2 linked regions of the Tamandua tetradactyla genome follow. The main gene of each other region encodes a partner of the protein of the gene in region 2 in a complex. Links are inferred from orthologs where the notes say so. Each region holds a gene or a part of one and is shown on either strand. Other genes may lie near its edges.

Evidence for each region.
Region 1: the proteins of RAD1 (region 2) and RHNO1 are in contact, whole or in part, in a crystal structure (PDB 6J8Y), measured with the Homo sapiens proteins. The link is inferred for Tamandua tetradactyla from reciprocal best matches to the Homo sapiens genes RAD1 and RHNO1. Residues at the interface, in NP_002844.1 of Homo sapiens: Asn47, Gly48, Ile49, Lys50, Phe64, Ile65, Gln66, Ser149, Lys155, Ile157, Glu211, Ala212, Lys240, Val241, Ser242, Arg244, Gln254, Tyr255, Met256, Phe266, Glu268; in NP_001239428.1 of Homo sapiens: Ser55, Trp56, Val57, Ser58, Pro59, Asp60, Phe61, Asp62, Thr63.

What each region holds. Positions count from the first base shown.
Region 1 is NC_135333.1:65,007,302-65,014,806, forward strand, and holds the start of RHNO1 (RAD9, HUS1, RAD1-interacting nuclear orphan protein 1), read left to right. Parts: upstream 1-4,413; 5' UTR 4,414-4,432; intron 4,433-4,888; exon of another isoform or gene 4,889-5,853; coding exon of another isoform or gene 5,854-6,879; intron 6,880-7,505. Other genes in the region: TEX52 (testis-expressed protein 52), read right to left, coding at 2,569-3,119, 4,185-4,256; FOXM1 (forkhead box protein M1), read right to left, coding at 5,854-6,879. UniProt on the Homo sapiens protein: Involved in microhomology-mediated end-joining (MMEJ) DNA repair by promoting recruitment of polymerase theta (POLQ) to DNA damage sites during mitosis.
Region 2 is NC_135335.1:84,403,565-84,411,012, reverse strand, and holds the start of RAD1 (cell cycle checkpoint protein RAD1), read left to right. Parts: upstream 1-4,381; 5' UTR 4,382-4,499; exon of another isoform or gene 4,500-4,616; intron 4,617-5,138; 5' UTR 5,139-5,190; coding exon 5,191-5,388; intron 5,389-6,336; coding exon 6,337-6,445; intron 6,446-7,448. Other genes in the region: BRIX1 (ribosome biogenesis protein BRX1 homolog), read right to left, coding at 793-836, 1,852-1,963, 4,177-4,335. UniProt on the Homo sapiens protein: Component of the 9-1-1 cell-cycle checkpoint response complex that plays a major role in DNA repair. The 9-1-1 complex is recruited to DNA lesion upon damage by the RAD17-replication factor C (RFC) clamp loader complex.

The DNA.
Region 1 (7,505 bases), on a different chromosome or scaffold from region 2:
TTCCTTCTTCTCATGGGTAAAACATAATGTTGCCCAAGGGCTCTTCCAGCCCTGACCTGCTGTGATCCTACACCTTCTCTGATGATTTCCTCTTCTCTGAGGTCTTTAGGATTAGTTTGGAAAGTAGGAAATGGACTTAAAAATAAATAAATAAAACATGGTTGAGTAGTCCAAATTTCTTATGTTTCAACATGATTTGTAACTGGTTCAGCAAATATTGCTGTTGTGGGCTTCATTCACAGATTCACAGCCTTGGCCCTGGCTGCACGTTAGAACCACATTCAGAGATCTTTAAAAACACCAATGACCAGGCTGTGCCCTACTCTAATCAAATTAGAATCTCCTGCATGGGGCTCAAATATCAGCATTTTTAAAACGAGTGCCAGGTGATTCTAACGTACTACCAGGGTTGAGAATCTAAGCATCCTAAAGCTTAGACCAAGTCATACATTTGAAATCCTCTGAGTCTGTTGAATGATCCAGACCATTTTAATCCCTTCTAGACTGGCTCAAAAGGAATAACATGAAGGATGGGTCTTTCCTTTTATCCCTTTTCTTGTGAAATCATCAGAGGTGTAGGATCACAGCAGGTCAGGGCTGGAAGAGCCCTTGGGCAACATTATGTTTTACCCATGAAAAGAAGAAATGCTTGAGCTAATGCAGGATTCTTCCCACTGGTGCTACTTTAGTTGAGAAGTTGGGACTGGAGGATAGTTAGAATCTGGATAAATTGGGGATAGCTAAAGAATGGAAGAAAAAGTTCACTTACCTGGTGAACTCATACAGATCCTCCAAGATACAGTTCAAATACTACCTTGTCCATGAAGAGCGAAATCTTGTCTAAGATGCATTCCTTCATTCCCGGCTCCAGGGCCTGGGCCAATAGTGGTAAACCAGTAAGACAAGGACCCTCTTCTCATTGAGATGCCACACTAATACTGGTGGGATCTGAATCCCTTCTCCATGCCAGGCACCTGGTCACTGAATCTTCTAACCACCCTGCAGGTACCAGGTACTCTACTCTCCCATGCATACTTGAGAAAAGTGAGGCTCAATGAGCTTAAGAAACTTAAGGCCATATGGCAAGGATGTGATGGAACCAGATTCCAACCCAGATCTGTCTGATTCCTGAGGCCATACTCTTTCTGCCATTTATTGAGTGCTAAGTTCTTTTTGTGGATAGTTGTATTTTTCTGAAGCTGCCTTTATAGACTATCCCATGACATTAGAAGTAACCGTGAATTTGTCTGATTCCCCGAACAGACAAGAGGAAACTAGAGCACAGAGGTTAAGACCGAGGCACCGGAACTGAACTCTCTGGGTTCACGTTCCAGCTCTGCCACTTCCTGGTTGTGTGAACTTGGGCAGGATACTTGACCTCTCTGTGTTTCAGATGCCCCATCTGTGAAATGGGGTTGATGATAAGTTTCTATCCATTGGGTCACGGGAGGATTAAACAACAGACCTAAAGTGTTCAGAACAGCAGCTGGCATGTGGTAAGTGCTAGTAAGGGTTAGCAATTGTTATTAGATTGAATTTTTCTGAGGAGTGATCTATCTTATTCAGCTTTGGATACCTAGGACAGCAGAGAGAAACTAGGAACCTGAATGATCTCTTAAAATGTCTTCTTCTATTTTTTTTCCTATTAAAAATCTCCACACTGCCTTCCCCTTCAATCCCTTGGTCCTCCTGCTAATGCCTTTGGGATTGGAATTTGAGTTGTTCTATCTTTATTCTCCTCACCCTTTCCCACTGCTTGTGCCCAGAACCTCGACTAGATGCATGCAGCAGGGGAATGTCTACGAATTCCCATGTAAGGCAGGGAGGGGAGGGGCTGCAGGGTCTCTAACAGCTCCTTTCACATTCCTGCCTCGGCTCTTACCAACCAACCCAACCTGGAGGGCGCTAATCTCCTCCCACCCCCAACCGCGGACCCAGGCTTATTCCCAATTTCCTCAAGAAGTCTCCCAGGGGAATCACAAGCAATCCCTTCCACTTCTGAATGTAGCAACATCCAGCTTGGGTCAATACTTTTACATGCTGATTAACACATTTTTATCTTCACCCCATGAGGTCTGTATTTATCATCTGCATTTTATCAATGATGGAACCTGAGGGATTTCCCTAAGTGGTCCGGCCTGGACTTTGATCCAGTCCTTCTGACTCCGGTTCTAAGCTCTTCCCCTTGATAACCGGCTTAATTCTGGCACCCAGCCTCACTGCACCCTTGGGGCGCAACACCTGGGACCTGGAGCAGGGATGTGTCTTTTCACCCAGTGAGCAACCGCCTTTCGTGAGCTCCTTCCAGGCAGGGACTGAGCCACGCTTCTCTGTAACCTCAGTGTCCAGCAGGTATTAAATTTAGTTTCCGCCCTACTCCCCCCAAATTTAGCTGATCAACTTGTGTCCTTCCCTTGCCTCTACCTGGTCTCTCTGGCTATGCTCAGAAAAGAGAGTTGGGAAGGAGAGAGCACCAAGCTAGCTGTTGGAAAGAGTCAGAGAGCGGGAGGGTCACCTGAACATGAGGTGACTAGGTGAGCTCCGAGGAAGGGGCTCAGCTCATCTTACTTCTTGAAGTTCCTTGGCGGCAGGATGTTGCCCCTGGCGTCCAGCGGAGGCGCTCTTGCTTCACTTCTCAACTTGAGCTTCTCCACCTCCTTCAGCTCCTTCACCGTCCTGTGGATCACTTGGTCCTTCCTGTTCTCATCCAAGAAGATGGGAGTACAGTAGATGAAGGTCAGGAAGCTGTTTTTGCCCATCCAGGACGGAGGTGGGATGGGGGGGTCTGCTGGGGGCTGGTGATGGGTACTGGCGTTGGTCAGCCAGCGCCAGATGTTGCTATCGTAGGGCCTGTCGGGCCGCGAGGGGAAGGTGGCTGGCAGACGGCCCACATCGAGCCATGTGTGAAAGCCCCACGTGTGCTTGGCTGTGTCCGTCCAAGGGTGGTTTAGTCGGTGGCGGACCTTGGACTTTGCTTCTGTGCAGGGTGGCAGCTTCAGGGCCAGTTGATGGTACGCTTGCCGCGTGAAGCCGGGCAACTTCCAGGGCTCACTGGGGAGGAGGAATTCACGCTGGGCCCAGGTATGGTTGGTCGGTTGGGACTCAGAGGCATGGACCATCTGGGGAGAGACAAGAGGGATCCTGGGGACCGCTGGAGGGGTGTTGGTGGGGGTGGGTGGGCACAGAGCCTCCCAGCACAAGGTGCCAGCCTCCTCCAACCCCAGGGTGAGAATGATGGCTTGGCAGGGCACCATTTCTCTCCACTGTCCTGCCCACAGAAGTCATGACTGTTCTGTATTACTCATATGAGTACTCATATGATTTCCCACCCTCCTTCCTCATCTTACATTTCCCCACCCTTCACTTTTAACTTTCTCCCATCCTTTACATTCTAGGGCCCCCAGTTTTCTTCCCAGGAACTGGGGCTCCTAATAAAAGGCCCTGAGGAAATGATAAGGGAAAATGCCTCCCCTCTCCGGTCAGGTATAGAAGCCCGCCTTCTCCAGAGCAAAGAGCCCACTGTTTTTTTCTGTCCTCTACTCCTCTTACTTCTCATTTCTCCACCATTGGTGCTTTCTCACCCTTCTCATTAAAGTAAGAGCAAATAACAAAGCACCTAGAATGTTAATTGATTCTCTTTTCTGAGACTCCTACCTGCTGTGAAACAAATAGTAGCAAATATGAATTGGCACTCTGCTAAATACTTATCCACCTCTCATTTAATTCTCACAACCCTATGTATTGTTATTATCCCCATTTTAAAGTTGCAAAAAGCAAGGCACAGGAGGGTAAGTAACTCACCCAAGGCGCTGAGAGAATGAGTGGCAGAGCTGGGATTTGGACCCAGCCTGTTTCCCTGCTCATGATGCTGAGCCATATGAAGGGGGCTTGGCATAGCGCCTGGCCCCGTGGCTGGAGCTTAGAAATGTCTCTTTTAAAAAGCCCCTCCTTCCTCTCCACCCCAAGGGCTTTTCTGGTTAAAAATTTCACCTATTTCTTGGGCCCAGACCCCTAAATTATTTCTACAAGGCCACCCCAGGCATCTCCTCTTCTCTGCTCTGAGCTCTGTGACCTGTGGTGCAGCATCACAGGATCTGGAGTGGCAGACAGCACAGTGGAGAGTTTGTAGGCTGGGAATCCACTGCAGGGGGGCCAGTCCCTAGCTGGGGAGTCTGCACCCCTACCTGCAGGAAAGGTTCTCTGACATTGGATGGATAAGTCGGCCCTCTAGGAGATCTTCCTGGGTAACTGGCCATTCCTCTTCTGTGCTTCCTAGCCAGGAGGGGCTGCTTTGTAGGAAAGCTCTTTCTTGCTCCATTGTTTGCTGCTGGAGTTGCTATGGTGATCCTTCCTGAGCAGTGACGCAGAGAGGAGGCCCTACCCTCTCGCTGGGAGGGCTCTTCAGTACCTTGGAGCCCTAGCTGCCTTTCAGGTGAGACAGGCAGGGGCTGGGACTTTTATAAATCCTGTCTGCAAAAGCTGGTGGCAGGAGCTGCTTCTGGGAAGGGGGTGGGACTTGCCTTGGAAGGCTGGGGGCCCCGAGAAAAGCAGGTTGGGCTGGCTGCCAGGCCCTGGGGTGGGGGTAGAGGGAAGTCCCCTCTTCCCCAGTGTTCCCAGGGCCTAGGCTGTCTCCTTATTGGGAAGCCCCAAGTTAATCAGCAGGTACAGAGGTTCCAAAGAACAAGGCTGGATATGAGGGCGATAAGCTGGCTTTGCAGGGCCAGCTGGGGAAAACTGCCCATGTCTGTTTTAAGGGTGTGTATTCAGTCCCTTGGATACTTCTTCAGGTCAACTCAGACCCTGCTCTCCCTGTTACCATCATCATATCCTTTCTTTTCCAAGCCTTTTTATGCCTTAGGAACCAGGCACCAACACACCACAGAGACCATCATTTCCACTCTGGATTTTATTGGATAGGGGGTTACAGTAGTGTTCTTGAGCTGCCTGGTGTGCACATGGTCAGCTGGGGCCTAAGGTGGCTCTTTGCAAAGCTGAGGTGCACGCTAAGGAAGCCAGGCAGGTCAGGGGCCCTGTCAGCCCTCTCAGGCCTCTGGCCGAGTTCTCATCGATGCTCATCTCCCCGGCATGATTAGGGACACTATCAGAGACACATCTAAAGGGGGTTCATCTGGACACACATTCTTTCCTTCAGATGCATCTATTTCTTCTTGCAGGAAAGATGACTTGGAAACATGGGAAAGTGGGAGGAAGAGGCAATAAAAGGAATATGGGCAAGGAGATGTCTTTGTCTGGTTGCCTACAGTGAAGACTTTTGAGCTAAATACGTGGGACCTGGAAGAAACTGCACTGCTGGTCTTGTCTTCTTTAGGAACTAGAAACAAGGACAGATGCAAACTGAACCCCCTTGTCACCATACCCACCTTCTAGCAGTCCCTAGATAATGATCTAAGGAAATAAGTTTACATTTATAATTAGAGGGCAATTTTGAGAATATACACTATTTACAAGGGCCACCCCTGAGGGAGCAGGGACAGTGAGAGACTGCTGGACACAAAACAGAAGCAGTTGGGAAGTTCCTAATCTCTTTCCACCTTGTTTTTGCTGTTCCCATGCTTCCGTTCCTGGTAGGGTGCAGAGGTATCAGATTTTGGGGGGAAGCCTAAGGTAGCACAGAGACCAGTTTCCAGGGCCTTGCTGCTTACAGAGGTGCCAGTGGCAGCTAAGTCACAGACTGCTGCCTTGACACAACCGGGAGAGGGGGAGCTCAGAAGAGCAGACGGTCCCTGACTGGTGTTCTCATGGAGGGGTTGGGGTCCAGGAACTTTGGCCTGCCCAGCACACAAATGCTCCAAAGTAGTGGACAGCTTAAGCAGCGAGGGCAAGGCCGGCTTTCTACCGTAGCTCAGGAATGAACTGAGACCAGTTGATGTTGTCAGGGCCCAATGGGTCTTCCTCCAGGCCGGGGAAGCTGATGTCCAGTAGGATCTTGCTGAGACTATCATTCATTGTGTCCAGAACCAGGCCTTCTGTCAGAGAGCGATTGGCTGAAGGGCCAGGGACCTGTGGCTCGGGAGAGCCTGACTTGGGGACTTCCATATCTGAGGGGGGGCAGTTGCTAAAAGGGTCAGAGGGGAGGTCAAAGGGCTCCGAGTTGAGGAACTCTCGGGGTAAATCGAAAAGGGGGATACTTTTCAGTGGGGTGGTGCTGAGTTCCATCAGCCCTAGGGAGTCAGGCAGGGGGGCAAAAGCACCCCGGGGGGTTCGTACTGGGCTGAAATCTAGGCCCTCCACTTTGGTGGGAGGTGTGAGCTTCCAGGATTCAGGGGTTATGGGGAGGACAGACTTGCTCGGGGTGGAGGAGATAGGCAGTGTCTCCTTAATAGGGGTCTTAAAAGGTCCTCCTTCTTCCTGGGAGTAGCCAAGCTGGCAGGCAGGCTCAGAGGAATCTGCTAGGAAAGGGAGCTCTGGGGCTCGCCGGGAAGTGCTGGGACCCTCTGAGTAGAGCAGCTCGGGCTCATCCAGACAGGGAGACTGCAGGTGCTGTTTCCTTCGGGAACGGCTCATCTCCCTTCTCTCCCTTCGCTTAATCACTAGCATTTCAGAGACACACCGGGCTGGGGACTTGAGCCCGCTATAGCACTTCTTAGACCTTGGAGTGGGAGAGTGGGATGAATCGTCCCAGGAGTGAGATGACTCCTCTTTGAAGGATGGGGATGGGGAGGGCCACTCTTCCAAGGGGGGGCTTTCCACTTTGATGGGTCGCGCCAAGTGCGGCGTTTCCTCCCCAGGCTGAATCTCTTCCTCCTTGATGGACTGGACTGGAAGCAAAGGAGACAGCCCTTCTCCAGGCAGGACTTTCTCCTCTTTCACTGGTCCTGCAGTGGGAAGAGGGGCTATCCCTTCCTCGGCTAGCAGCACCTGCAAGGGAAGCAGTTATAAGGTGAAAGGGGCCTCCAGAGGCCTGGTGATTCAACCCACTGCCAACAGGCAGGACAGAGAACTGTGACTAATAACGGGTATACTGGTACTAATCCTCTTTTTGGGCTTTCAACATTTTTAATAACTATTAAATACGAGAATTCAATATGTGATAAATGTGGTAGTTCAATTCTGGGGGTAAAAGATGGAGCATTTCAGATGGTGCTGGCATAATTAGCATACATCTGAGAGAAAATAAAATTGGATGCCTATCTTAAAACAGTATACAAAGACTTAAATGCAAAAATTAAAACCATACAAATCCTGCAAGAGAATCTAGGAGACTACATGTACAATCTGAGGGTGGGGGTGACCTTCTTAACCAAGACTAGAACCCCAGAAGCTGTAAAAGAGAAGAGAGACATATTTGACTATAAAAAAATTAAAAATTTTACTGTGGCAAAAGATACCATAAACAAAGTTAAGAAGCAATAAACAGAAGTAGAAAAATATCTTCAGCATAAAAGACTGAAGGCTAATGTCTATCACATACAAAGAACTCTCGCAAATTAATAACAAAACCCTATAGAAAAATGGATAATATCTGTAGCTTAGTAATCCACAGA
Region 2 (7,448 bases):
ATTTGCTATTTTCTCTATACTAGAATGCTCTACCACTATGTTTCTCCTTCACTAAGTCTCTGCTATAATATTAGGTTGAATATCCCTTCAGAAAAGCCTTTCCAGTTGAGTCTCAGTTGCCACAAACCAATACCCTGCTTTATATTCTATATCTCTACTTGAAGTTATAGTATGTGTTTATGGCCTGTCTCCCCCATTAGAATAGCTTCATGACAGGTGCTTTGTTTCATTAAATACTATTTCCACAGTACTTAGAATAATGCTTTCACATAGCAGCAGTTCGGATATTCGTGCATTTAAATGAATGAATAAAATAAGACTTTCTAATAGCTGGAATTATCTTAACATAATTTTCTTAAATTTTGAAAAAACTGCTTTAAAAAATACAAGTTTAGTATCTCTAACAATACTGTTTAAGTATGTTTAAAAAAATGTGTATGTTGATTGATAGTTTTTGTGGGTACTTACTATGAATTTAGAATTATACTAGATATTATGGGAGAAATAAAAGAATGAGATAGAATCCTTTTCTGCAGCAAATTTTAATATACTTAAGACAAGACAAACATAGGAATGATCTAGAAATATGAATATATACTGGAGAACTAAACTTGTGAGGTCTAAACTGTGAGCATTCTAAAAATTTAAAAGAGAATTTATCAAAGAGTCAATAGAATATGCCTGAATATCTCTCACAGGACAATTTAAAAGTAATTGAATAACAGACATGTTTTAAATGAACCATCTTTAGTATTTCCAAAATATTTAATTGTAAATACTTTCTAAAATTACCTCATTAATAACAAATAATTTATCTTTACGATCCATTTTAGTATCTGTAAAAAGAAAAAAGCCAAATAAACAAAAGATTTCATAGCTACTTCAATCAACTCATATTCTAACTAGAAGGTAAAAGTGTTTTACTTCTTTAATTTAAAAGAAATTTTACTATCATCAAACTGATAAGACCTGAAAACACATGACTTCTTTTAAAAATCTTCATTCTTTGTTAAATACAGAGAAAATCAATAAGCAGAAAAAGTCCCATAAACCAATGAATATGTTTAAGGATCCTAGTTCAAGAAAGCATTAGAGAAATTTAAAAACTTTATCGATGAAAATACCTTTCAATTCTGAATCATCATTACCAAAGAAAGCTGATCTTAAAATACTGATTTTAGATTAACACAGAAAAAGAAAACGTATACATTAAAATTTCTCTTATTAGTTTTAGAGATCTAAGAATACAGCAGTAGACCCAGAGCTTGAGAAACTGGTCTAAAGACCTAAATTATTACATAGAATTAAAACCAAAAGCACCAACCAATAAAAGCACAGAAATAGCTCCATAACAGTACTACAACAGTTTTAAATTTGAGATCTGACATTCTTCACTTCCCCATTACTAATAACATTAGTTTGGTATTCAAAAGCACGCTGAATCCAATTTAACTGTACATAAAATCTTATCCCAGGCTTTAAAAAGGAAAAAAACCCCACAAAACTCAGAAAGCAATACATTACAGTCTTAAATCATTTAGAAGGACAAAGCATCCTATGTATTTCAGGACCTCTGAGGGCATTAAAATGAAGACATTCCTGGACCTTGAAGAAATATTTCAATAAAGTTAGGATATTCTGTTTAAGAAAGTGAAGAAAAGATCTAATGGGTTCTAGAAAGAATTTCCAACAAAATGTTAATTGGAAAAAGTTGGCATTTGAAAGGATGAATTTGAGGTGCTGTGGTTCTTAACTTGACAAGATTGGACAAATGAAGCGTGACTTTGCGTAAACTACACAAATGAGCCAGTTTATAAGTAGAAAATTTTAAAGCATGCAATATAAACGCACCTGCTTTAGAATGAGGCATCAGCATTCTTAAGTCTTGCATTAAATGTCTCGTTCTGAAATTTATTCCTCTGGAAGAAAAGATGAGAATCCGTTCCTTATTTTTCCACTTGCCCTAAAGAAAAATAAAACTAATGTTAAGATTTTAAAATATCATACAGCACCTACCTTGGTTTTTTTTAAAAGATAGTTTTTAAAAAGCATCTAGTTTTTCCAACAATGCACCACCTTAATGTATCAAGACTAAGGCAGAGTTTGACTCTTGAAGAGAATTGTATAAATATATAACTTTTACAATGTGACTGCATGACTGGACCTTGTGTCTGATGCTCCTTTTATCCTGGGAATGGATAGATAAGTAAAAAAATATAGATTAAAAAATAAATAAATAATAGGGGGATAAAGAGTAAAATAAATTGGGTAGATGGAAATACTAGTGGTCAAAGAGTGGAAGGGGGGAAGCACAGGAAGCATGAGTTTTTTTCTTTTTTCTTGTTCTTTTTCTGGAGCGATGCAAATGTTCTAAAATACGATCGTGATGAATACACAACTATGTGATGATACTATGAGGCTTTGATTGCACACCATTTAAGGACTATATGTGTGTGAAGATGTATCAATAAAAATATCTTTAAAATAAAAAAATAAAACTCAGAACAAACCCCCCCAAAAATTAAAAAATAAAACCCAAAACAAAACAAAAAAAGACTAGGGCAGAGTGATAACTCTGCTTCTTCTCCCATGTGAGTAATTCCGGGAACTGAGATATTTCATTACATAGAAATATACAAGAAAATAAGACTGTAATGTCTACATATAAACCTCAATAGAGTATATACAAGTTTAAAATCTCTCTACCCCTGAAATAAAAATGGGCTCCTCATTCAAGATTTCTTGCACAACAGAACTTAAATATTAACTTAATATTTACTAAATTCCTACCAGGAGCCAAAAACTGTTCTTTCAGGATGGAGGAGGGAGGTGAGACAGATAGGAGATATTAAATAAACAAACTAATAAAGACATGCAGGTATGAAAGAGCATGAAATGCTAACAATAGTTAGAATTGTTTCTAATAGAATAGCAAACTATGGAAAAGGTAATTTCCTATAGATAAGGAAAGCAGAGAGAGTATAAAATTCCAGGTAGCAAGTCAAGCAATCCTGAGCCCTTCTATTCAACCTCTCAAGCTAATTTGGTTCTACTTTTAAGATTTTCAGCATTTTCCAACTTCAACAACATTGCTCTCCCTTGTACTGTCCCCTCTCACTTTGAATATCAAAATCTTACCCTTCCTTGGGATCCACTCAAAGGCTAAGTCCTTACCTAATTATCCCAGGGAAAAAGTAATCTCTATCCCCTGCACCTCCGAAGACTTTATCACGCTGTGACTCAGAAACTTACATTTTCCTGCTCCTTAAAGAAAAAGTGAAGACACTAACATTTACTGAAAATTTAACTTGTTCTTCACAAAAAGTAACTCACATTTTCTTCCTCTTAATTTGTAGATAAAGAGCTCAGAATGTCAGTTAATGAAGAACTGGGCTAGAATTTAAGCTCATTTTTCATTCTTCATAGTTCACTCCTTTCCTAGAACCTGCCACTACATCACAAAACACTCAACAATTGTTCATCTATTTGTTTCATCTACTTATCACCTACTGTATGCTAGGTTACTACATAAACGCAGGAGTCAAATTAACAAACCAAAAGCAATACTAGTCTTGACAGTACTAAGTTCTCAGTTGAAGAGGTCGCTTACTAGTTAGCTTTGCAATCCCAAGACCAAAGAGAACATAATCTTCGAATTGTGCCTGGCACAAGAAGTTTGTTGTATGGAGGCAAAGCTCATACAATCTTGTCTAGCTTTCAGGATCCCTTGAAAGTTAAAGATTTGATGAGATAAGTCCGAGTCAGTCTCAAGGACAGAGACTTTTTAAAGGACCGCAAAACAAGCTTCGAGATCCCTAATGGTGTCTGAGTAGAGCAGAATATGAGCATATTAACCACAGAAAGACACTCAACGACAAATAAACTAAAGAAAAGTGCTCCCCTACCAAAAAACTGAGTAATTAGAAGGCAGAACACGGGAGATAAGTCGCTTCCCCGCGACACGGGAAGTGCTCCAAAGCCCGCCGCCTCCCGAAGAGAGGCCACGAGGACGCAGCTTAGACAAAACGCAGCGTCCAGCGCCGCCGGGAGCAAAGAGAAGACCGGAGTCCTACTAAATACGGGCTGCTTCTAAGTAAACCGAGCGTTTACAGGTAAGCAGAAGCAGAACGGCGCGTGGAGTCGCGGCAAGTGCAACCCGAGGGTAATTCCTTCTACCTTGCAAACAGGGCCAGGGATACGGTCTTTCTCTTCATCCTCCACCTCCTCTGCCACGTCTCGTGGCTTAGCCGGCGACTCGGCATCTTTTTCGTTTCTTTTCGGCCTCTTGGCCTGGATTGCCATGCCTCCACGCCGTTTTCTCTTGACCACCGCCATCTTGCCTAACACTGTGCTCTCTCCCTTCCTTCCGGTTCTGTCGCTCTCTCCCTGTGCGATCTCTATGGTAATGTAGTGACTCATTCCGGTCTGTGCGGTACCTTCTTCTAGACTCTCTAGCCGTCCTCCGCCTCTGTGGTGACGGTGGCCGAGGCGGCTTGCAGGTTTGAAGAGAGAGGTGGGAGGGATTCCACTTTCTCCCCATTTCCCTGGAATTGGAGCTCCCTTCCCGGGTGAACTGGCCGGGAAGAGCCCTCTGGCGTTTAGGCCTCAGCTCAAAGGTAGAGTTTCCCACCCCCGGGATTCCTGGATGAGGAAACGGATGCTTTCCCGCGGGCGGGCTGATGAATGAGGTTGTCTGGAAATCTTCGAGGACCTCCTGCGGAGTCGGGGTCTGTCTGCCCCTATGGCTTGTTCTGTTAGCATCAGGGTCGGTGGCGCGGGACAGCTCGAAACAGACCCAGTGGAGATACATAGTCCCTACTTACTTTGGCGAAACTGGTTCCAAGTAGGACTACTGTGTGTCGGTTGCCAATTCTCATTCTCACAGCTTTTCAGGTAGGAGTTATTGTACCCATAGAAAGACGTAGGAACCTTGTCCTAGAGAGGTCCAGTAATTTGCCTCAAAGTGAAGAGACACTCAGGTGGTAGAGGTGGGGTTCACGCTCTGGCCGGTCGAGTTCAAAGCCCGGATCCTTTCCACTTGGCCTCACCATTTCCACGCAATTCAATATTGCCGGACCTCGCCAGCATTAATGGCGTGTTTTATCGTCTAATTTCTTTCGGTGTTTCGTTATCTGCAGGAGCGGGCGTTGGCCCCAGAAGCATCCCCTGGAGCCGAGTGTGCTATGAACGATGCCCCTCCTAACGCCACAGATCCAAGCTGAGAATGATCAGTACAGCTTAGTGGCCAGCCTTGACAATGTGAGGAATCTCTCCAACATCTTGAAAGCCATTCATTTCCGAGAACATGCCACATGTTTTGCTACTAAAAATGGACTCAAGGTTACAGTGGAAAATGCAAAGTGTGTACAAGCAAATGCTTTTATTCAGGTATGGACATAGGCACCTTTCAGCCTGTGACATGATATCCTTGACCCAGTTTAATGAATTCCAAAGGTCTTAATATACCTAATTTAAATTTGAGAACAAAATGTGGTTATTTGCTTATTTGCCTCCTGGAAACAAATTCCTTTTCTATCTTGTTTTATAGAGATAATGATTAATAATAAGGACTAATATTTATTAAGGTAAACTACAGGCTAGAAACTCTTCTGTTTTATATGTTTACCTCATTTAATTCTCACAATAGTCCATATTATTCCCACTTTACATTTGTGGAACTTGAGGCACGGAGAGTTTTAAGTGATATGGCCCAGTCCTACAGGTGGTAAGTGGCTGAATTGACCTGAGAACCCAGAATGTTTATGCTCTTCACCACTACATTATTACAACCTCCCTATTACTAAAAAAGATTTTCTTTTTATTTATTGTAATAGAATCTGTTTTTTCTTATAAAGTAATATTTGTATGCCCAGATAGGATTTCAGATTCAATTTAGCATTTTTTAACAACTAAGTGCCAAGCACATAGTGACCTAAGGGATAGAGGGATAGATGAGACGTTGTTCCTATTCTCCCCCAAAATCGAAAGCTAATATCATGTATATATTATTAAATTGTTGTCCCATTTTCCAAGTGAACTTAGTGGTACATATGAGCACAAAAAGGAGATGAAAGGGGAATGGTTTTCGATCCGGGAAGCTGCAGAAAGGATGCTTCATAAAGTATGCATGGAGCCTAAATCCCTGCTGCACCTTTACCTTTGAGAAGTGGTATTCTGATTATGGTTGAAGAAAGTGGGATGTGCTGATCAGTAATCAGAAATGAGTCTCATGGTGTTAGTGCAATATTGTTAAAGCTTATAAAGTGAAATATAGAAATTTATAGGTCATTAATACATGTAACTACATTTTCATGGTTTTTGTTTTTTTTTTTGTAGGCTGAAATATTTCAAGAGTTTACAGTTCATGAAGAGTCTATTACATTTCGAATTAATTTAACCATCCTTTTAGACTGTTTATCTATTTTTGGATCAAGTCCTATGCCAGGTGAACCATCTTATTATAGTTATAGCAACATAAAAGTATTATACAGAATGGTCAGAGAAATGCAGGAAAGTTATTTAGAATATAAACATCTCTTTAAAAAATTGCTAGTTCATTTTCAATTGGTCATAATCATGGCCTCAATTCTAACTTTTACAATATTAACAGAACGTATTTATATTTCCTTTCATATGTTCAAAAATATTTATAGTTATCTTGTAAGACAATTCGGAGTTGAGTTACAGTTTACAGCATTTTATTCAGGATACCAAGATTGTTGCAGCAGCAAAGAAACTTTTAGTCTGAAAAAGCAAAACCGATTTCAAGGCTGGGATGTTTGTGGGTAGTTTTATAAACAGAAAGAAGGAAGATGGCTAGGCTTTGTTGGTTTGGAGCAGGAACCTGTTAGTCTTATAGAGTTTTTATTTTTATTATTTTTATTTATTATTATTTTTTTTAACATGGGCAGGCACGGGAATCGAACCCTGGTCCTTGGGCATGGCAGGCAAGCACTCTTACCTACTGAGCCACCGTGGCCCGCCCTAGAGTTTTTATTTTTAATAAATAAATGGGGCTTTATTTTTAATAGGACTAGATGTGCTTAAGTAGGGGCTTAATTAGCTCTTTGGGATCAAGTGTCCTGAAAGGGACTTTCCAAAGAAGATGTTGTCACATCATCCTATGCTGGTTTGAGGAATTTAACTTTTGTGTTGGTTCTGAGAAAACCTAGGAGCTATTTTTTACTATACTTATTAATCTTTTTTTTATTTGCAAGGCTTTCAATGATTTCAAATCAGAATTGACCAAAAGAAGACCTTGAACATGTTTTAAATATCTTTAACTTTGTGAAATATGTTTTGGTTGCTTCTTTTCCCTAATCTGTCCAGAAATAAACAGCTAGTTGGTGGCAAAGAAAAACAGAAACCAGTTCTATAGACTCACAGTTTACTGTATTCAGTTTGTTGGCTTTTTATCCCTAATTCTGCATTATGAATCATTATGTCTG